Linked DNA regions of Callithrix jacchus. The protein of the gene in region 3 purifies or fractionates together with the protein of the main gene of each other region. This does not show direct contact. Links are inferred from orthologs where the notes say so. Each region holds a gene or a part of one and is shown on either strand. Other genes may lie near its edges. The genes, in order: NCBP2, FNBP4, ZC3H18, RBBP6, VIRMA and SSRP1.

The links.
Region 1: the proteins of ZC3H18 (region 3) and NCBP2 purify together in Homo sapiens (co-immunoprecipitation; 3 studies listed by BioGRID and IntAct, with this or other methods). This does not show direct contact. The link is inferred for Callithrix jacchus from reciprocal best matches to the Homo sapiens genes ZC3H18 and NCBP2.
Region 2: the proteins of ZC3H18 (region 3) and FNBP4 purify together in Homo sapiens (affinity purification with mass spectrometry; 3 studies listed by BioGRID and IntAct, counting the BioPlex papers as one, with this or other methods). This does not show direct contact. The link is inferred for Callithrix jacchus from reciprocal best matches to the Homo sapiens genes ZC3H18 and FNBP4.
Region 4: the proteins of ZC3H18 (region 3) and RBBP6 purify together in Homo sapiens (affinity purification with mass spectrometry; 3 studies listed by BioGRID and IntAct, counting the BioPlex papers as one, with this or other methods). This does not show direct contact. The link is inferred for Callithrix jacchus from reciprocal best matches to the Homo sapiens genes ZC3H18 and RBBP6.
Region 5: the proteins of ZC3H18 (region 3) and VIRMA purify together in Homo sapiens (affinity purification with mass spectrometry; 3 studies listed by BioGRID and IntAct, counting the BioPlex papers as one, with this or other methods). This does not show direct contact. The link is inferred for Callithrix jacchus from reciprocal best matches to the Homo sapiens genes ZC3H18 and VIRMA.
Region 6: the proteins of ZC3H18 (region 3) and SSRP1 purify together in Homo sapiens (affinity purification with mass spectrometry; 3 studies listed by BioGRID and IntAct, with this or other methods). This does not show direct contact. The link is inferred for Callithrix jacchus from reciprocal best matches to the Homo sapiens genes ZC3H18 and SSRP1.

What each region holds. Positions count from the first base shown.
Region 1 is NC_133516.1:25,207,203-25,211,295, reverse strand, and holds the start of NCBP2 (nuclear cap-binding protein subunit 2), read right to left. Parts: upstream 2,801-4,093; 5' UTR 2,749-2,800; coding exon 2,671-2,748; exon of another isoform or gene 2,615-2,670; intron 1-2,614. Other genes in the region: protein NCBP2AS2, read left to right, coding at 2,961-3,260. UniProt on the Homo sapiens protein: Component of the cap-binding complex (CBC), which binds co-transcriptionally to the 5' cap of pre-mRNAs and is involved in various processes such as pre-mRNA splicing, translation regulation, nonsense-mediated mRNA decay, RNA-mediated gene silencing (RNAi) by microRNAs (miRNAs) and mRNA export.
Region 2 is NC_133511.1:112,784,962-112,788,461, reverse strand, and holds part of FNBP4 (formin-binding protein 4), read left to right. Parts: intron 1-384; coding exon 385-695; intron 696-990; coding exon 991-1,135; intron 1,136-2,414; coding exon 2,415-2,755; intron 2,756-3,500.
Region 3 is NC_133521.1:46,237,006-46,240,505, reverse strand, and holds part of ZC3H18 (zinc finger CCCH domain-containing protein 18), read right to left. Parts: intron 1,838-3,500; 5' UTR 1,824-1,837; coding exon 1,221-1,823; intron 1-1,220.
Region 4 is NC_133513.1:25,151,349-25,154,848, forward strand, and holds part of RBBP6 (E3 ubiquitin-protein ligase RBBP6), read left to right. Parts: intron 1-918; coding exon 919-987; intron 988-3,301; coding exon 3,302-3,500. UniProt on the Homo sapiens protein: E3 ubiquitin-protein ligase which promotes ubiquitination of YBX1, leading to its degradation by the proteasome.
Region 5 is NC_133517.1:32,689,745-32,693,244, reverse strand, and holds part of VIRMA (protein virilizer homolog), read right to left. Parts: intron 3,198-3,500; coding exon 3,104-3,197; intron 2,825-3,103; coding exon 2,280-2,824; intron 1,754-2,279; coding exon 1,518-1,753; intron 1,041-1,517; coding exon 788-1,040; intron 1-787. UniProt on the Homo sapiens protein: Associated component of the WMM complex, a complex that mediates N6-methyladenosine (m6A) methylation of RNAs, a modification that plays a role in the efficiency of mRNA splicing and RNA processing.
Region 6 is NC_133511.1:114,905,004-114,909,003, reverse strand, and holds the start of SSRP1 (FACT complex subunit SSRP1), read left to right. Parts: upstream 1-1,200; 5' UTR 1,201-1,344; coding exon 1,345-1,542; intron 1,543-1,587; exon of another isoform or gene 1,588-1,706; coding exon of another isoform or gene 1,707-1,760; intron 1,761-2,174; coding exon 2,175-2,360; intron 2,361-3,559; coding exon 3,560-3,665; intron 3,666-3,953; coding exon 3,954-4,000. UniProt on the Homo sapiens protein: Component of the FACT complex, a general chromatin factor that acts to reorganize nucleosomes. The FACT complex is involved in multiple processes that require DNA as a template such as mRNA elongation, DNA replication and DNA repair.

The DNA.
Region 1 (4,093 bases), on a different chromosome or scaffold from region 3:
AACATGGTGATGCCCCATCTCTACTAAAAATACAAAAAAAATTAGCTGGGCATGGTGGTGGGCACCTGTAATCCCAGCTACTTGGGAGGCTGAGGCAGGAGAATTGCTTAAACCTGGGAGGTGGAGGCTGCAATGAGCCGAGATGGCGCCATTGCACTCCAGCCTGGGCCTCAGAAGCAAAACTCCATCTCAAAAAAAAAAAAAAAAAAATCCACAGAACAATAGTCATTCTATGTTAAAATGAGGTTTCTAGAACTATGAGACATTAGACAAAGTAAATTCCTGTCATTTTACTGCTGTCACTGATTTGTTAACATGGATGGGGCATCTTCTTTTTCTACTTTCCTCACACATAAGTAAGGTCCAAATAAATAGCCTACAGTTTAAGATAACTACGGTACAAGTACTTAACTATATGAATATGGATTCCATTCACAGAATGCTAGAAATTCCACATGACAGTATGGTATTATTATCTAAATAAAGCTCTAGGTTTTAGACTGAAGAGATGAATAATAGACAAAGTCAAAAGTTTTCAGTTTTCATTTTACATTGAAGTTAAAAATGGTTAGGATGTGGAATTGTCTGAAGTAATAGCTGTAAAAGTGGTAGAAGTGCAAATCATGCCTGGCACTAAAGCATCTAAAAACCTGACCAGCCGGGATCAGTGGTTCATATCTGTAATCCCAACACTTTGGGAAGCCCAGGCAGGTAGATTGCTTGAGTCCCCGAGTTTGAGACTAGCCTGAACACTGCAGGGAGACCTGTCTCTACAAAAAGCCATATGTAGTGGTGCGAACCTGTGGTCCCAGCTTCTCCAGAGGCTGAGGTGGGAGGATCACTTGGGCTTAGGATGCTGAGGCTGCAGAATCGTGATTGTGCCACTGCACTTCAGCCGAAGCAATAGAGCTAGTCTCTGTCTCAAAAAATAAATAAGTCTTGTTTTATTTGAGACATACTCTCACTCTGTCGCCCAGGCTGGAATGCATAAATAATAATAAATCATTTTAAGACATAGTCTCATTCTGTCACCCAGGCTGGAGTGCAGTGGCATGATCTCAACTCACTGCAACCGCCTTCTGGGTTCCAAGCGACTCTCCTGCCCCAGCCTCCCAAGTAGCCAGGATTACAGGCAACCGCCACCATGCCCAGCTAATTTTTGTATTTTTAGTAGAGATGGGGTTTCACCATCTTGGCCGGGCTGGTCTTGAACTCCTGACCTCGTTATCCACCTGTCCTGGCCTCCCAAAGTGCTGGGATTACACGTGTGCGCCACCGTGTCGTGCCCGTCCTTAAAAATTTTTTTTTTTTGAGATGGAGTCTCGCTGTGTTGCCCAAGCTGGAGTGCAGTGGCGCGATCTCAGGTCACTGCAACCTCCGCCTCCTGGGTTCAAGCATTCTCCTTTCAGCCTCCGGAGTAGCTGGGACTACAGGCGCGCCCCACCACGCCCAGCTAATTTTTTGTATTTTGAGTAGAGACGGGGTTTCATCATGTTGGCCAGGATGATCTCGATCTGTTGACGTCATGATCTGGCCACCTCTGACTCCCCAAGTTCTGGGATTACAGGCGTGAGCCACCATGCTCGGCTGAATAAATTTAAGAGCTTCCCCAATTTGCTGTCAAACAAAATTTCCTTTTCCCTACTTTAGTAACACATTTCACACATTCTCCACACCTACCCTCTGCTATGTACAGCCCTTCATTTCCCAGTCACATGGGGATTCCCCCCGCTTTTCTGAATCTTCACTACTTCTGTCTTAACTCACTTCTGCTTAGATTCTGATTACTTCCCTCCATTTATAATCCATACTACGGGGAATTATGAGCTCGTCGAGTGCAAAAATCTGTCTTCCCTCTCCCTCTAGGGTTTAGTACAAGGCTTTAGCAACAGCACTCAATAAACATTTACTAAATAACTGGGTTAAAGAGTCCCGCTAGCCCCAACCGTATTCCATCCCTGCCTTTGTTGATACTGAAAAGCCTACTCTGAATATCTGCAGCCTCCCCCTTTTTCACAAAATATAGTGATACAGTATTCGATATAGTTGGGACTAAAAATTTCCCTCTTCTGAAATGCAGCAACTCTCCCATCTTTACACCCTCAACGTGCCCAGCTTGACGGGTCCACCTCCTACTCCGAAGGTTCCCCGAGGGCGGAGTGAGGACTCCACTCGTGTCTCCCACGCACCGCGTACAGTTTCCGTAGGACCACCCTCCCAGTGAGGGGGCCCGAATCGCGGAAAGGCACTGCTTCGCTGATTTAAAAAACAAAGTAAAAAGCCCCGTGTCTGCATCAGGAAGGCGCCTCTACAGACTCAGGGAGTTAGGACACCCCTCCCCCTTGTTACGTAGTCACCTTCCCGAGGCAAACCGTGGAAACGGGAGCCACTACTACTACCACTCAAACCTCTCGGCGCTGGCCGGGGTACCGGGAGTGCCTGCTAGGGAACGGGAAAGCGAGCCTCAAATTCTCAATCTTCCAGAGAAAGTGGCTTCATCGATATCCAAACGCCCTTGCAGCACCCATTCCCTGCCTCCCCAGCAGGCACCGAGGCCCCACTTGGCGTTTGGGGACTCCAGCATAATGGGATGCAACACGAGACAAGAGCAAACCGTTTCTCAGCGTTCTGGCCCAGGGCCTTCCCCTCTCGCGGCCGGGCCTCCCTCACCCGGAAGTGCTGGTCCCGGTACTGGCTCAGCTCCACGTAGGAGTCGCTGCGCAGCGCCTTCAGGAGGCCACCCGACATAGCGCAGAGAAGCGGACGAGGATGCGACAACTCCCGACACGAGGCGGCGACTGCCGTGGCGGAAGCGGAGACGGGCGGAGACGCGCATCTTATTGGACCCAATCCGGGCGACAGTATCGTCATCAAGCTGCGCGAGCACAAAAGGCGTCGGGTCGGGCCCGCGGAGCAGAAGGTAAGGGCGGCGCGCTGCGGTTTTCGGGCGCCGGGAGAGGATGGTGCTCCGACGGCTGCTGGCCGCCTTGCTGCACAGCCCGCAGCTAGTGGATCGTCTGTCGGAGTCGTGGCCTATCCGACGTGCGGCGCAGCTCACAGCCTTCGCACTGCTCCAGGCCCAGCTGCGGGGCCAAGACGCGGCCCGCCGCCTGCGGGACCTCGCGGCTGGGCCCGCGGGCTCCCTGGGCCGCCGCGTTGAGCGATTCAAAGACGCTTTCACCCAGGAGCTACGCCGCGGCCTCCGGGGCCGCTCAGGGCCACCACCAGGTAGCCAGAGGGGCCCGGGCGCAAACATTTAAGCCTGGGCTGCGCGGGGCTGAGGCCGCTTCTGGGCTCTATTCTGGCCTCGGCGTTGAGGGGTCATTCCGGGCACTGCGCACGGCCTCGAATCCTGACTCCGATTTTTGGCCTGCGGATATCCCACTCAGAAGAGCCTAGGCCAGACCGCCGTCTCCGTTGAAGTCTTGTGATTTGACAAGGCACAGTGTGGAGAAAGACCCCGAAGCCTAACAGAGGTGAAGATGGGCTGGGTCCAGTCACAGCACCTATGGAGAGCCACCGGCCGAAGCCACAGAGCCTTTCCTCTGCAAATGGGATTGAAACTCTTGACAGATGCTGCTGAATCTGCACGGGTATAGCAGGACACTTAATTCCAGGGACGATATGGATAAAAAGACCACCCTACAGCTGCCAAAATCCTTTGATTAAATGTGTGAGCTGATTAATAGGCATGAGTGTGATACTTCTCAGGCAAGATGGATGAAGAATACTGGGGACTGTAGGCCTATGGTAATAATAAACACATACTTTATGAAATGAGTATTTATTCTGTGCTGCGACTTGCTAATAGCATTCTGTGTGTGTGTTTTTGTGTCATCTCCTTAAAACCACATTCACATGAGGAAGCAGAGATGGGGTAGTCTCATTGTGTTGCCTCGGCTGGTCTCAAACTCGAGCCCAACTGATCCTCCTGCCTCAGCCTCCCAAAGTGCTGGGATTACAAACAAGAGCCACTGAAACAGAAACAGAGGCTGCTGCTTAAGTTGCCCAAAGCCTTGCAGAGTAGGATGTGGGCAGAGGCATTTGACTGCTGGGCTTAAGTCCTTAACACAGCTCTGCAGCATTTATCCTG
Region 2 (3,500 bases), on a different chromosome or scaffold from region 3:
ACTGCATTTCTCATTGAATCAATGTAATATTTTCCTTCTACTTGTCCATAAGTATGGACCCAAAGGACAAGACAGGTATAACACAGATGGGGAAGGTGCCAACTGTAAGGTTCATAAGTTTATATTTCCATGGACGTCATTTCTGAATTGAGTTGTTGAATATTTTAGTTACATCAGTATAGAATAGATGCCTGTGGGGCATATTTTTTTTTTTTTTTTTGGAAGGAGCCACTCCCTGCTGCTTGACACCGCATTCTATACTATTTTGTACATTGTGCTAGGTTCCTGTAGATGTTTGTCTTACTGACCAGTTGACCGTTTCTATGAATATAAGCTAGGAAGTTTGTGTCTTGCTTTTTTCCTGATTCTTATCTGTTTTCATAGGTTCTCTTTGTAAAGAACCCTTTTCTGGTCAAGTTTCTTCTTCATCACTCATGCCATTTACTCCATTCTGGACCCTCCTTCAGTCAAATGTTCCGGTGCTTCAACCTCCATTACCCTTGGAAATGCCACCACCCCCACCTCCACCTCCAGAATCACCTCCACCCCCTCCTCCACCACCTCCTCCTGTGGAGGATGGTGAGATCCAGGAGGTAGAGATGGAGGATGAGGGAAGTGAGGAGCCCCCTGCCCCAGGAACAGAGGAGGATACACCTTTGAAACCTTCAGCACAAACCACAGTTGTAACTACCCAGGTGAGTAATGTCCTTTGGCATTCTGAATGATTGTGAGGATGGAGCATGCTTGACACTGTATTTTATTTTAGAAGTGTATGTTTTAAAGGCTGGGCACGGTGTCTCATGCCTATAGTCCTAGTGCTTTTGACAGGTCAAGGCGGGATGATTGCTTAAACCCAGGAGATTGCAGTGAGTCATGATCTCACCACTGCAGCTTGTGCAACAGAACGAGACCCTGTCTCAAAAAAGGAGACGGGGTGGCATATGTTTAACCAGGGCCTTCAGCCACTGATCACAAATTTTTGTGTTTCAGAGTTCAGTGGATTCTACCATCTCTAGCTCTCCTTCCACTAAAGGGACAAAGAGGAAAGCTACAGAAATTAGTACTGCAGTAGTTCAGAGGTCAGCTACCATTGGCAGTTCTCCAGTTCTCTATAGCCAGTCAGCTATAGCTACAGGTAATTATGATTAAAGCATGGTTTTTCCTCAATGTATTGTTTCTTTTTTTTCCCAGCATTAGATGCTATAAAAACTAAAGAAATGTTAAGGTTCTTTGCAAAGACTGTTTGCATTTATGTTACTTCAAAAAAAAAAAAAAAAAACCACTTTTAACAGTTTAATTGGCCATGCATAGTGACTCACATCTATAATCTCAGCACTTTGGAAAGCTGAGGCCAGTGGATTGCTTGAGCCCAGGAGTTGGAGACCAGCCTGGGCAATACGACAAAAGCCTGTCTACAAAAAATACAAAAATTAGTCAGGCATGGTGGTTCGCACCTGTAGTCCCAGCTACTTGGGAGACTGAGGTGGGAGGATCACTTGAGCCCTGGAGGTTGTGGCTGCAATGAACTGTGATCACACTGCTGCACTCCATCCAGTCTGGGCGATAGAGCAAGAACCTGTCTCAAAAACAGAAAAAATGGCCAGGCGCGGTGGCTCAAGCCTGTAATCCCAGCACTTTGGGAGGCCAAGGCGGGTGGATCACAAGGTCAAGAGATCAAGACCATCCTGGTCAACATGGTGAAACCCCCTCTCTCCTCTCCCAAAAATACAGAAAATTAGCTGGGCCTGGTGGCATGTGCCTGTAATCCCAGCTACTCGGGAGGCTGAGGCAGGAGAATTGCCTGAACCCAGGAGGCGGAGGTTGCAGTGAGCCGAGGTCGTGCCATTGCACTCCAGCCTGGGTAACGAGCGAAACTCTGTCTCAAAAACAAAAACAAAAAATGTTCGGCATATATCCTTCCAGATTGTCTTTTTTTTGAGACGGAGTTTCACTGTTGTTACCCAGGCTGGAGTGCAATGGCGCGATCTCGGCTCACCGCAACCTCCGCCTCCTGGGTTCAGGCAATTCTCCTGCCTCAGCCTCCCGAGTAGCTGGGACTACAGGCACGTACCACCATGCCCAGCTAATTTTTGTATTTTTAGTAGAGACGGGGTTTCATCTTGTTGACCAGGATGGTCTCGATCTCTTGACCTCGTGATCCACCCGCCTCGGCCTCCCAAAGTGCTGGGATTACAGGCGTGAGCCACCGTGCCCGGCCCAGATTGTCTTTTGTACATTTATGTATATCGATGATTTTGATGTTTAGGTAGTGTAATGCCAAGATATTCAAAATTAATATATTTTGCTACTAGCAAATATGGCTGTATTTTTTAGATAAGGGTGTATTGGATTCATTGGATCTGTTCTTGTCATGATGTCCTTTTTATAGTATCATTTTATGTTTTCTGTGTTAGGTCTCCAGGCAGCAGGGATTGGAAACCAGGCCACAGGAATTGGACATCAGACAATACCAGTTAGCCATCCAACAGCAGGAATGGGTCATCAGGCCAGAGGAATGAGCCTGCAGTCAAATTACCTTGGACTAGCAGCAGCACCTGCAATTATGAGTTATGCAGAATGTTCTGTCCCAATTGGAGTGACTGCTCCCTCATTGCAGCCAGTCCAGGCCCGAGGTGCTGTGCCTACCACTGCCATTATAGAACCACCACCACCTCCACCTCCTCCTCCTCCACCACCACCACCAGCTCCCAAAATGCCACCACCTGAAAAGACAAAAAAAGGAAAGAAAGACAAGGTATAATAAACCTCTTTTTAAAAATTTTATTGAAGTTACATTCACGTAACATAAAATTAACCATTTTCAGGCCAGGCACTTTTGCTGACGCTTGTAATCCCAGCACTTTGCTAGGCTGAGGCAGGTGGATCACTTGAGGTCAGGAGTTAGAGACCAGCTTGGTCAAGATAGTGAAAACCTGTCTCTACTAAAAATACAAAAATTAGCTGGTCCTGGTGGCACATGCCTATAATTCCAGCTACTCAGGAGGCTGAGGCAGGAGAATTCATTTGAACATAGGAGGCAGAGGTTGCAGTGAGCCAGGATTATGCCACTGCACTCCAACCTGGGCAACAGAGCAAGACTCCATCTCAAATTAAAAAAAAATTAACCATTTTCAGTTTTAGTATATTCACAATATTATATAACCACCATCTCTGTCTAGTTACATTTTTATCACCCCAAAAGAATAAATACCCTGTATCCATTAAGCAGTCATTCTCCATTATCTCCTCCCAACACTTAGGAACTACCACACCAATCTGCTGTGTCTGGATTTACCGATTCTGAATACTTCATGTAAATACATGAAGTACGTGACCTTTTGGGCCTGGCTTCTTTCACTTAGCATAATGTTCTTGAGGTTCATCTGTGTAGCATGTATCAGTATGCTAAGTAATAGTGTACTCTATGTATATGTGTATACCACAATTTACCATTCAATAGTTGATGGACATTTGGATTGTTTCTACCTTCTGGCTGTTAG
Region 3 (3,500 bases):
GCGGCTCATGCCTGTGACCCAGCACCGTGGAGGCTGAGATGGGCGGATCACCCCAGGTCAGGAGTTGGAAACAAGTCTGGCCAATATGGCAAAACCCCGTCTCTACTAAAAATACAGAAGTTAGCCAGGCATGGTGGCAGGCGAATTGCTTGAACCTGGGGGATGGAGGCTGCGGGGAGCTGAGATGGCACCACAGCTCTCCAGCCTGGTTGACAGAGCAGACTCAGTCTCAAAAAAAACCCCAAAAACATGGCACTAAAGGCAAACCAGTGGTTACACATCTAACTGACAACCTTTACCTGCCTCAACCCAGAACATCAAACTGCACCTTTCACTGCAATGACTCCCCTTCCCTGCGATCCTTAAATAAAAAACAACAAAACCAGCTCAGTCCAGCTGCTCTGTCCCTTGCTCAGTTCCTTTCAGTTCAATAGCTCTGGAAACTATCGCTCAGGAGGACTTTGGGCTGTTTCTCCCAAAACACTCATAACTTTTCCAACGGGATCAACTGCGAGGAGAACCCCACCTACCCATATCTCAGATCACAGGTAACAGTACCTTCCCCTCAACCTGAAAGCCAGATTACTTCAATGTACAAAGACGTGTGCTGGCTTTGTCAGAAACGGAGGCGCTATGACACACAGTCCCATGGACCCGCCTCCACCAGTCTTTTCAGGAATGCGCCCAAAGAGCCGTGGTCCGGCAGGTGCCCTCACCAGAGGACAGGCTCTAGGGCCAACACTAAAATGCCGACAAGAACATCCAGAACAGATGGAAACTTTCCTCATTCTTTTCGGTCCAAACACATGACAAGGGGGGAAACCCATGCCGTTTCTGGTTGAACACTCACTTGAGTATCACTCAAAGACAGCAGAGACGGGGAAAACATTACCTCTCCACCCCGGAACCGAAAAACACTGGGCACTTGGCCTTTTACTGCGGCCCAAGCCATGCCAGCAGCCGGCCAGCCAGGGGCCACGGAAACCCCGCTGCCGGTTTCTGGAGCTGCCGACGCTCAGACTTCATTTCCGGGTCTTCCTTTCCCATCACTTTGGGACCGGCCCCCAAACAAGCCTCTCATTCTCCTGCACACCTGTCCCGCCACCATCTCTAGTAAGAAATCACCACGTCAGTCCCATGCAGAGTCCCTCCTTCCCCGCAACGGCCGGCGTCAGGCTGCCGGGCAGACACCCTGCGACGCTCTGCTCCATCATACTCACGTCTATTTCCCCGTCATCAATTTCTCCGTCGTCATCCTCTTTTTTTTTCTCCTTGGCAGCCTCCAGGGATTCCTTTTCTCCCAGACTCTGAACACCAGCCTGCCCCGCCTCCCCAGGAGCACCTTCACCCTTCTCTTCATCATCCTCGGCCCCAGCTTTCTCGGCCTCATCCTCCTGGACGGTGGGAGCCGGCTCCTCGGGGACCTCCTCGTCGTAGTCTAACTCATGCTCATCCAGTTCCCTGGTGACTGACGAGGCCTCATCCCTAAGGTCGCTTGTCCGGTCTTCCTCCCCTTCGTCCCCCTCCTCCTCGCATGGGGAGCTGGTCGGGCCCTGGCTCAGCTCATTCACCTCTGAGTCCTGGTCTTGAGATTTAGGTTCACTTGTCTGGTCCTCCTCGTCGGAGCGATTCTCTTCCTCCTCCTGGCCTGGCCCCCTGGCTGCACTTTCCTCATCCTCCAAATCAGAAGCCCGCACCCCCACTCCGTCCAAATCCTGATCGGACCCGCTGTCCCTCAGAATGTCATCATCCGAGAGCCCCTGTGGCTGCTCTTCATCCTCTGGAGAGCGAGGATCCCGTTCAGGGCTCTCGGCCACATCCATCAGTACCCACGGTTCTGTAAAAGAGAGAGAACACAGATTTACAGCCTTTAGCAAAACGGTAAACGAACCCTGTCCTCACTTTTCTGGCCTTGCTCGGCCCCACATGACCCTGCCCCAAGTCCCACACTCCACTCTACAGAGAAACACAGGTCACAACTCCACTCCATGAGGTGAGACTCTGCTGGGCTAACCTGGATGTTAAGTGCCTCCCGTTTTTAGCAATCACACAAAACGAGAAGTGGCAGAATGAGACACGGCCCGGCCTAGCCCTTCCCCACTCAAGGGCAGCACACACAAGTTCACATAAAGTGAGCAACAAGATACGGACTGCAAGGGACAGCTGTCTGAATTCTTAAGAGTATTTACTTTTGAAATTCAAGATAAACTGTCTCATGGAATGAGAGAGCAAAACTGCAGGCCCATGTCTGACCATTTTTCTGGAGTCACTCTGAAGCAGGAAGCTAGGCCAGCTTTTGCCAGTTTCCAGGTCTGGAGCCTGTTCTGTTACTGAACATACTTCTCACAGGCTGGGCTCTGACGGCCTCTCAGAATCCCCTTTGGTGCCCTTTAAACATAAACATATGCACCTTTTACATTTACATTTTTAATAGGACAACCTGTTTAAAGACACATAGTATCAAGAGTTGGTATCTAAACCTACAGTTAAACATGTTTTTTCTTTTCTGCTGTTAATGGAAATCACTACAATTAAGTACACATTAGGACAAAACTGGCCAGGTGCAGTGGCTCATGCCTGTTATCTCAGCACTTTGGGAGGCTGAGGTGGACAGATCACTTGAGTCCAGGAGTTCCTGAACAGCGAAACCCCGTCGCTACAAAAAAATACAAAAATTAGCTTGGTGTGATAGGAAGGCACCTGTATGTAGTCGTAGCTACCTGGGAGGCTGAGGTGGGAGGATCACTGGAGCCTAGGAGGTCGAGGCTGCACTTCAGCCTGGGAGACAGGGTGAGACCCTGTGTCAAATAAAAACCAAAAAACCCCTCCAAAAACCCCAAATAATTAAAAAGTAATCACTTTATAAAAACTAAATGGGCCGGGCATGGTGGCTCATGCCTGTAATCCCAGCACTGGCAGGCCAAGGCGGGTGGATCACCTGAGGTTAGGAGTTCAAGATCAGCCTGGTCAACATTGTGAAACCCTGTCTCTACCAAAAATACAAAAAATTAGATGGGCGTGGTGCTGGGTGCCTGTAATCCCAGCTGTTTGAGAAGCTGAAGCAGGAGAATCGCTTGAAACCAGGAGGCAGAGGTTTCAGTGAGCCAAGATTGTGCCACTGCACTCTGGCCTGGGCAACAGGAGTGAAACTCTGTGTCAAAAGTAAAAAAAAATTAAAAACCCTAAATGGCTAGCAACATAGATTTACAAACCAACCAATCCATTTTAATTCACTTGAAAGGAGACAGTTCTGAAACGACTCACTTTTCAGTTTTCTACACTATCCAGTTACTATCCAGACTGCTGGGCAGAATTATGAAAAAGTGAGTCCTAAGCCAGGGGTGGTGGCATGTGCCTGTAATCCCAGCTACTTGGGAGGCTGAGGTGGGAGGATCATTTGAGCCCAAGAGTTGGAGTGTAGCCTGGAAAACATGTGAAACCCTCCCCTCTCTTTTTATTTTATTTTATTTTTTGAGACGGAGTTTCGCTCGTTACCCAGG
Region 4 (3,500 bases), on a different chromosome or scaffold from region 3:
TAAATCCTTTCTAAAATACAAAATCTTAGAAGTTTTTTTCTACTTTCATGTCAGTTAATGAGTAGGATTAGAATTACAGAAAAGTTATTTTAAATATGGCATCAGTTATTTTCCTGGTAGGTTTAACTTTTTTATCCTTAATTTGGATGATAAAGTTTGGTTTGAGTACATAAATACATAATAAGATTAAATCTACCAAACAAAAATTTGTTGTTTTAAGTCATGTCTTATTCCACAGGATATGTTTTTTCCACCCTGAAATAAAAAGAATTTTTATTTTCTCTGTGGGATATTTTATGGCATTGAAAATCAGCAGACTTACTTAATATCTTTTTATTTATATAATTTCTTCTGATTATATACTCCAATTGAAAACTGATATATCCTTAAAGTATGAGTTACTAGCAGGATTATATCAGTAGAATGAACACAGGATTTAGAAACAGGTAGACTTGAGTTTTGAATCCCATATTCTCTATTTTCTAGCTGTGTAACAGTGGTCATGTGGTTTTACTCCCTAACATCCATTTCCTTGTTTGGAATTGGAATGACACTACCTACCTTAACATGTAAAATGGCTTCATAGTGCCCAGCAGACAAAAGGGCTCTTTTCCTTGTATATAACAGTAAGTTCACAGAGTAATTTATAGAACGCTAATTAAAATGTAATATTGTGTAAAGTAATCTATTTTCAGGTCTAATTACTGTTATAATACTGTTAATTGGGGGGAAAGTTAGTTTTAAGTAAATATAATGTTTGCTCACCTCTCCTCTATCCGAAATAAGTTTAAGAATTGGGGAGTAGGAAAAAGTTTCGAGTAGTTAAAATCAGTGTTTTAACATCTGTGCATGGAAAGGTCATGTATTATACCCATGGAGAAATACTTGAGCTTATTTTATTTTTTTTCTCTCATACAGTTCCAACAAACTTGGCTATCTGGTTTCTCCACCACAACAAATCAGAAGAGGGGAGAGGAGCTGCTACAGGTAGGTATGCTAAAAATCTTGGAAAATAATTATCTTATTATATATATATCACCAAAAAATACATAGAACATCAAAGAAATTAAAGCACAGCAGTGGCAGGAAGGAAGGAGGTCATTATCACTCTTAAGTCCTCAACAGTTATCCTCAAAGAGGCCTAGAAAAGAATAAATTACATATAGTATCTTAAATGATGGTTTTTAAGACATTTTTAATGTTCCTTCCCAGTGATTACTTTCTCTCTATCAGCAAACAGCAGAGTATTGTCTTGTATTTACCCTCTTGGAAGTAGAAAAAAGTCATTAAGACTCAGACAATATCTAAGATACCAGTTTAAGATGAAAGTTAACAAGCTCAGCTCCCAACTGTCAAAAAGAATTACATTTATTTATCTTCTAGACTCCACTGTCCCAATCATCTCCCACCTTCTCTTCCAAAAGAAGAGACAGGAGATTGTTAGAGGCTCCTGCTCTGGGCAGGTACAAGCATTATTAATCCAAGAAGTAAGAGTGTTACCATCTAGGTCAGGGGTCCCCAACCCTGGGCCACAGACTGGTACCCATACTTGGCCTGTTAGGAACCAGGCCACACAGCAGGAGGTGAGCAGCAGGTGAGCAAGCTTTACCACCTGAGTTCCACCTCCTTTCAGATGAGCAGTGGCATTAAGATTGTCTGTCATAGGAGCATGAACCCTGTTGTGAACTGCACACGTGAAGGATCTAGTTTACGCACTCCTTATGAAAATCTAACTAATGCCTGATGATCTGAGGTGGAACAGTTTCATCCCAAAATCATCCCCGCATCCCACTCCTGTCCCTGGAGAAATTGTCTTCCACAAAACAGGTCACTGGTGCCAAAAAGGTTGGGAACTGCTGGTCTAGATCATAATCACCACCAGAATAAAGAGGCTTCCAAAACTTTATAAAAAGAGTTTTGGCCAAGCATGGTGGCTCATGCTGGTAATTTGAGACTTTGGGAGGCTGAAGAGGGAGGATTGCTTGAAGCCTGAAGTTCAAGATTAGCCTGAGCAACATAGCAAGACTCTGTCTCTACAAAAAAAAAAGTTAAAAATCAGCCAGGCATGGTGGGGTGCACCTGTGGTCCCAGCTACCTGGAAGGCTGAGGCAGGAGGATCACTTGAGCTTAGGAGGTCCAGGCTACAGTGAGCTATAACCGCACCACTGCACTTTAGCCTGGGGGGTGGAGTGAGACCCTTTGTCAAAAAAAGAGAGAAAATTAGAGATACCTCCTAGTGCTTCAGTGCTAAACTTATTAAAAAGTTTACTCTGTCATTACTGGATCATATTTTAAAAGAAAGGTAATATTTACTAATTCATGGCTCTCTGAACAAAATGCTTAAAATCTAAAGCCCTGCTACTGCTGTTGTGTACCAGTGATTTATAATTTAAAGAACCTGTAGTTTAACATAAGTGAGCCCATTCTGTTTCTTTGGTGAGGCACAAATTAGAAACTTTAGCCCAACACTGTTATTTTTACTTAAGCCTTTGAGAGAAAGCATTGATATTTTCATTGTTAATTATACAAGTTAAAACTAGAATTTATTCTGCTTTATATGATCTTCACCCACCTTCTACCTCAAAAAAGAGGTTACAGGAGGTGGTTTTCCTTCATTGAAATTTTTGGGGCCGGGTGCATTGGCTCTCGCCTGTAATCCCAGCACTTTGGGAAGCCGAGGCGGGCAGATTACGTAGATCAGGATTTTGAAACCAGCCTGATGAAACCCTGTCTCTACTAAAAATACAAATAATTAGCTGGGGATGGTGGCACACGCCTGGAGTCCCAGCTACTTTGGGAGGCTGAGGCAGGAGAATTGGTTGAACCCTGGAGATGGAGGTTGCAGTGAGCCAAGATCAGACCACCACACCCCAGCCTGGGCAACAGAGCAAGACTCTGTCTCAAAAAAATAAAAAAATAAATGAATAAGTAAGCTTTTGGGTAGAACTAGGTCATAGCAGCATTAACCTGTCAGTTCCTTCAAAAGACAGTTTAGGAAGTAATGGGTCGTAATTAGTGGAGTGATAATCAATCTGGAATTCATGAAAGAGAACTTCTAAATACAATATTTCCATGTAGAGAAAGTCCCATAAACTTGCATCATCTCAGTCACTACATGACCTTAAAAATTATGTTTTAGAGTTATTTTTACAAATAAATGGTACTTATGATTCTATACTAGTTGAATAGTTGTATTCCACTGTTTTTAAATTTGAAAATAATTATGGATAGAAAAGATAAGCTTACTTGTCTCAGGTGACTTTAGTTTGAAGAAGTAATATCTTGGAATTTATTTCTCCAGAAGTATAAACCGTGGGCGACACCACAGCGAAAGATCACAGAGGACTCAAGGCCCGTCACTACCTGCAACTCCAGTCTTTGTACCTGTTCCACCACCTCCTTTGTATCCGCCTCCTCCCCATACACTTCCTCTCCCTCCGGGTGTTCCTCCTCCACAGTTTTCTCCTCAGTTTCCTCCTGGACAGCCACCACCTGCTGGG
Region 5 (3,500 bases), on a different chromosome or scaffold from region 3:
CAACTCTCATCAACCCATGAAACCATAAACTGGAAGTCAATAACATAGACAACAGGAAAAAATACTACTACTGTTAGCCAACATCTACAAGCAAAGTAGTCTGAAACACACTAAAAGTGTAGTAGTCTTCAAAAGTTTCCCTAACAGCGAACATATTAATTCAACCAATCACAAAGCTACAAAATTTAAGAATGACTTGTTGTGACCAGTCGTGGTGGCTCACACCTATAATCTCAGCACTTTGGGAGGCCAAGGCAGGTGATCACCTGAGGTCAGGAGTTCGAGACCAGCCTGACCGACATGGTGAAACATCATCTCAACTAAAAAATACAAAAATTTACCAGGCATGGTGTTGTGTGCCTGTAATCTCAGCTACTTGGGAAGCTGAGGCAGGAGAATCACTTGAACCCAGCGGATGGCGGTTGCAGTGGGCTGAGATCCCACCATTGCACTCCAGCCTGGGTGACAGAACGAGACTCCATCTCAAAAAAAAAGAAAAGAATGACTTGGAATATAATGTAATTACAAGGAAAATTAATTAGACCCTAAAAAATACAGAAACAGTGGCACATAAAACAATTACCCAAGGTTTTGAAGGAAAAAAATAAAGCTCTTCAGAGAAACCCATGAATAGCAGGAATAATAAAATACAGATGAAAGCCAAGACTTACATTAAGATACTTAAATACAAAAAAAAAAAGATACTTAAATGCACACACACAGAGAGACAGACAGAGAGAGAGAGAGAGAGAGAGAGAGAGAGATACTATAAAATAAGTATAAATACCTGATCACAGAGAGACTGCAAAATGGATGTGATATATTCAACACACTGTTGGCGAATAACACTGTCTCCAGGAGACCGCACCAAAGCTAAAAGATCCTGGAATATCTCTGCATATCTTTCATCACCTTTAATAGTTCCATTAATTAGATGCAAAATAGCTAATTTACAAGCTTTGTGTGAAGCCAGAGCATCAAGAAGAGCAAGCAACCTGGTGGTTTGGCTAGTATACTGTTTTTCTTTATCTTCTGAAGTGCTGAAATAAAATCAATACATTTAGTAAACAATGTTTTTGATCTTAAGGCATTGTTTAACTACTATTTATTTCTCAATACACATCAACTTACACAAATTTTGCATAAAACATTTAATTCCTTGGATATAATGACAACTTCTCTGGAATTTTACAATTACTGCAAAAATTTTATAAATTCAGGTTTCCAAAAATATATTTTCTTAAATCAGAGTACTTCTTTAGAATTCACCATTTAAAAACCCAAAAAACAAGATTGTCAAGATAGCTTGCACATGAAATGATGAAATAAAGCTTTCTAATTTAAAAAGTCTATAAGTATTCATATATAAATATGTGTGTATATGTAGGTATATGTGTATATTTACATGTATATATGTTAGCTGGGCATTCCAAACCCTAGTTTCCAAATTATAAGGGAAAAAATATATGTGTCAAAAATAACTTGAGGAAAAAATTTTTAATGCAAAATGAAAATACCTTTGCAAGTCTTCTACAATCAAATCCAACACAGTTCTCATAATCAGAAGTGCAGTTGGTGAGGCAAGGTCACACAATTGAACACAAATACGCCGTAACATATGTTGAATGGGCTGGCAGGTTGTGCCAGAGAAAGAGCGAACTATTTCTTGGAGCAACTTTGCTTGAACATGAAGGTGCATGCTCCACAATTTTCGGGTGTTGAGTGCCACTGATATATCATGTGGCTCAATAACCTGTTAAAAAAGTATAATGTTGTGTACGTAGATTTTTTAAATATTTATTTATAGTCACAAAAACTGTTCAGGAAGAACTGTTATGAAAAGAACATTTTTACTGCATGCTTAAAACATTCAATTTTCTATTATACAGTTAAACATTTGCTTGAATTCAATGAGTCTAAAAAATCTTATTGTTCTCAGGTGAGCAGTTAGTTGAGTAGAGTCCATTGGTGAAGCAACCCAGTTATTGGCAAATTCTAACACATAAGGGGGGGAAAGGATTTAAAATAACAGAAATATGTAAGTACAAACATACATAACAGCATAATAAAACTCACTTTAACAAAAATTCACTTAAAATGTTACCCCCGTATTTCCTCAACGACCAACTTGCTTCAGTTTTATCTCCCCCTCATCCAGTTATTTTATGTCTTTTTGGGAGGAAGGGAGATGAGGGTTTTTGTTTTTTAACACAATCACTGGCTTTTAAAAAAAGTGTTACGCAGTCATTTATAAGATGCATGTTATATTGAAGTGATACCTGAGTTGTTTGCATGGGCAATGGAAGAGGCAGCAGCTCTGAAAGGAGTATGAGTCCAGAAAAAAATCCTTCAGGAACCTTCAAGATTGAAGAAAGAACTTCTTTTAACATTAAAGACCAAGTATTATTGGCCAGAGTCTCTTCTGAGATTGTGAGTTTTTCATTAACTCCTTGTGTAAAAGTCAGTAAAATATCAATGATATCATTCTGAATTTTCTGTTCATCACTATCCAAACGACCTGAGAGGGGGATAGAGCACAGGAGCATATGTAAAGTAACAAGCGCTGAAGGAACACGCATGTCCTTAAACTCAAAGGATCCACCTCTCAGGAGTTCCGTTAACATAGTTTTAAGAAGTGTGAGGGTGCAGCGAGCCATTGAAATAGTAGTAACTCTGTGAAGGGTAGTCCCCATGTTGACATGGAGCCTCCAAGGCTGAGTCAGAATACTGTTCAATTTTTGCAGAACTCGAATAAATGTGTCCATTCCTTCAGCAGAAAAAAGCTGAATTACGGCAAGATTCCATTTCAGGTCTTTCTGTTGACCTTTATATAGGATAAGGAAAAGAAACAAAACTAATTATTTATATGTTAAGATTAAGAATTATTAATTATTAAACTGAATATTTAATAAATGATATTTAATTATTTATGGTTTTTATATTTATAATAAATTTTTATAAATATTTATGACAAATGTTTATATTTAATTACACTTAAATATTATAAATAACATTTAATAATTATTAAACTAAATATTTAATAAATGATATTTATTCTAGCCTTAAGAATAGTATTTTTTTAAAAATATAGTAGTCACATTACCTTCAACAGGAGGTGGTGGGCATGCAATATTACAGAGAACACGTAAGGCAGTGGTAAGGCCAACTCCTTCTGGGGTCATCAAGTTATCAATATTCTTTAAAAATAAAAATGAACAAAATGTTTCATTTCTTAGTACCCATCAGATCAACAAAAAATTCCAGACAAGGAATTAGTTAAAAATATGAGCTCCAAGTTAAGAACATATAATATTTTATATTTATTAAGTAAATTTAAAACATGATTAAGGCCCTAGAGCTAAATGAATTTATCAAGATTATTTATCTCTGGCATATGTTGTACTATATGCAATATTATGTAAATAAAAAGAATTGAAATGTACAACCTCATTGAAAAGAACCAACTAGAACAAAGATAAAGAAATGTTAAGAGTTTAAAA
Region 6 (4,000 bases), on a different chromosome or scaffold from region 3:
CTTACCCCAGGATTGAGTTAGCAAGCTGGTGTACTGATTGTCAGGGAAATCTTGAATTTACATATTCTGTACTAATATCTTCACACAGGACACATCATCAATCATTCTGAACATACAGTCATGGTGATTACGACGGAAGAGAACTGGACTGGTGGTAAGGAAGTCTGGGTCCTGGCTTTGTTGCCAACTCACTGAGACCCTGGACAACTCAAGTCCCTTTGGGTCTCAGTTTTCCTATCAGTAAAAGAAGGTTGGGGTAGAAAAACTAAAGCATCTTTTCCAGGTCTGGTTTTCTCCTATGTTGCAAAATGCACTCTGGGACTATAGGAGGAGGCCTGGCTTCCGCAACCCCAGGATGATGTGGTTTCAAATCAGTTCCGGCTCCGAGGTGAATCTGACACCAGGACTTGAACTGGATACAGCCATTTGCCAGCCTCTTGAGGGAACCTATAAATTGCGGTTAGGGATGTGAAGATTTTGGGTATAGACAGTGAACTTGACAGTTCAGCCAGAAAGCAGTGCACTTACTATGACACCATCATCTACATTCTCTTCCCAGCCAGTGGGAGAGATTGTTTCTTTCCACAACTCTTAAATACTTTTCTTCTTGTCCCATAGACTCCTTTCCATGACCCACAAACTATTTTGCAGACAGAGGGGCACGCATCTTTCCAATACACACCCCCACCCCCACCCCTGTACTAAGTCTGATACGATAAAATCACACAATTTTTCTTTAGTATCCAGTCTCCATTGAAGAAGTGTCCGTAGTTTCTAAAGAGCCCTACACACATTTTCGAAGCAGATTACACCCGGGTGAGAGAGACTTCACTGCAACCACATTTCTCTCAGGTCCTCCAGCGTCGCCGACGCTCTATGCGACGGTCTCGCAGGCGGGCCTGGCTTGTGTCTCTCTAGCCGGCTCGTCCTCTCTGTGGCATGTGCTTGGCTTCCGGTGGCGGGACGCGGGGCCGCGCACGCGGGAAAAGCTTTCCCGGTGTCCCCCCCCAACCCCCGCCCCCCCGCCCCCCGCTTCCCCCCAACGCGCCCACCTCCCACGCCCGGGCCCTCGCGAGGTTGCAGCCTGAGTAGGTAGGTGGTGGTCGTCCCCCGGTCTCAGGAAGGCACGAGCCCCGCTACCCCGCGGGACGCTCGACATGGACCATTCCGCATTCGAAACCGCGGGGAGCGGGCGAATCCATTCTGTAGGGCGGGGGTGAACCGTGGGCCTGGGGCTGCGGGGTGGTGGGAACGGTGCTAGGGAAACCCTGCACTCTAAGCTGTGTTGGGGCGCGTGCGAGGTGCGGGCTCCGGGCAGACCCTGGGGTTCCGCTGCTCGTTGCCATGGCTCCCGCTGGAGCGGCCAGAGTGGGTGTCGGGTTGGGTGTCAGCGCTGTTCCAGGCCCGATTCTCCACCTGGGCCTGGGCCTGAACCCTCGGGCACTGCAGCGCCCGCCTATGGGTTCCCAGGCAGAGGAAATCCTGAGACATCTCAGGCGCAGATGGGGGTTGCTACCTGGCTTCATCGGCGAGTACAGCGAGGTGTTTGTTGTCTTTTATGCTTATCTGTCTTCCTCTTGAACTCAGATTCCCTACCTGCTGAGCATCCGCACACCCACTCAGGAGTTGGGGCCCAGCTCCCAGTTTACTCGGTTTCCCTTGTGCAGCCTAGGGCTCTGCCCAGGCCACCACAGGCAGGGGTCGACATGGCAGAGACACTGGAGTTCAACGACGTCTATCAAGAGGTGAAAGGCTCCATGGTGAGAACGGCTCACACAGTTGATACAAGTAGATAGAAGGAAGGAGGGTAGAGTTTTTGTCCGTTAACGAGAGCTTGCTTTGGGAATGTTATTTTGGAAAAAGAAGACTCAGTATAATGTGTTCCTAGTATTTTCCCCAACACAAGGCAATAGAGAGATGGTCTCGGGAGTTATAGGGACCATATATGCTGTTCAGTTCCCAATTCCTGTTTTACAAATGAGGAAACTGAGAATCTGTAAGGGATCTAGGTACCAGAGCCTGGTTTAGAATCTAGACTCCTTGGCCTCCTCAGCTGTGGCAGCTGCATTTGTCATCTGGCCAGCGCCCTCACAGCTGGAATGTGTGTTGGGTAGAACTGTACCCAGGACATGCTTTGTACTGTCCCCATGCATCTGAGCCTGTTTTTCTTACAGAATGATGGTCGACTGAGGTTGAGCCGCCAGGGTATCATCTTCAAGAATAGCAAGACCGGCAAAGTGGACAACATCCAGGCTGGGGAGCTAACAGAAGGCATCTGGCGCCGTGTAGCTCTGGGCCATGGACTTAAACTGCTTACAAAGAATGGCCATGTCTACAAGTATGATGGCTTCCGAGAATCGGTGAGATGTCCCTTGGCTATAAACCCCTTACAAACCTCCTTTTTACTGCGTCATCTTCTTTTAGTCTTCTAAAGACTTGCAGTTCCCTTCCTCGTGTAACCCTGTGATTGCCAGGCCATCAGGCAGTCGGCGTTCAGCCTTGAGTGTTGAGTTGTGAACTTTTGTGTGAACACCTTCACTCCGGAAGGTTTTCTGCTGTTTTGATTTAGATGGTAGTTTCCGCCTGTGGCTTTTATCAAGGTTCAGAATCTTAGCTTGATGTCTTTTGTGTTATTTTTTTTTGTGACAGGGTCTTGCTCTGTTGCCTAGGCTGGAGTGCAGTGATTTAATCTCGGCTCACTGCGGCCTCTCCCTCCTGGGCTTAAGCAATCCTTCCACCTCAGCCTCCTGAGTAACTGGTACCACAGGCACATGCCACCATGCCCAGCTATTTTTTCACAATTTTTGGTAGAAATGGGATTTCACCACATTACCCAGTCTGGTCTTGAGCTCTCAGACTTGAGGGATGGCCCATCCTGACCTCCCAAAGGGTTGAGATTACAGGCATGAGCCATTGCACCTAGCCAGCTTGATAAAGTGTGGGTTTTGTTTTTCATTTTGAGCTGCTTGAGTTAAAGGCTTTATTTGATTTTAATTTCCACTTTCATTAAAGTAATGCCTATACAAAGCTTTTATAAAGTCAGATGGCACTGTGAAACCCATAACCAGGAATGTCAGATCCAGTGGCCAGAAGCAAGATCTTTGAACAATTTTTTTTTTGGTAAAGGAGTTTTGCTTTTGTTGCCCAGGCTAAGTGCAATCGTGTGATTTCAGCTCACCAAAACCTCCACCTCCCGGGCTTAAGTGATTCAGCCTCCCGAGTAGCTGGGATTACAGGTGCCCACCACCACACCCAGCTAATTTTGTGTTTTTAGTAGAGACAGGGTTTCTCCATGTTGGTCAGGCTGGTCTAGAACTCCCGACCTCAGGTGATCCACCCTCCTCAGCCTCCCAAAATGCTGGGATTACAGGCGTGAGCCACCACACCAGGCCTCAACAGTCTTTTAAACAATGTTAGGGCTGGGTTGCTTAGTAGCATGGGTTTCTCATACAGCCTATTTTGGGGCAATTTCTCAGAAATAGATCATCGCAGGACATTCAAGTCTGTGTTAAGGCCACCAAGGTTTACTGGGATTGTGCTTTCTTTCCTCCACCCACAGGAGTTTGAGAAACTCTCTGATTTCTTCAAAACTCACTATCGCCTTGAGTTAATGGAGAAGGACCTTTGTGTGAAGGGCTGGAACTGGGGGACAGTGAAATTTGGTGGTGAGTCCTGGGGAGGACTGAGGTTTGGGGAAGAAGATAGCCTGAAGGGTGTCAGCCTTTGACTTGTTCTGCTCTTTTCCCTCTGCCAGTGTCTCTGGTTTCCTATCTGTTTGCACGTTCATCATGAGTACTGATTATTGGGTACCTACAGTGTACTGGGCACTGTGCCGGGAGTTGGATTACAGTGTGAACAGACTCGCCCCGGTTTCCCATCTCTGTGGACCTCGGGTTGGTGGGAATGTTGCTTATGCAGGGGAGCCTGCGGCTTGATAAGCCCTTTCCTCACAGGGCAGCTGCTTTCCTTTGACATTGGTGACCAGCCAGTCTTCGAGATA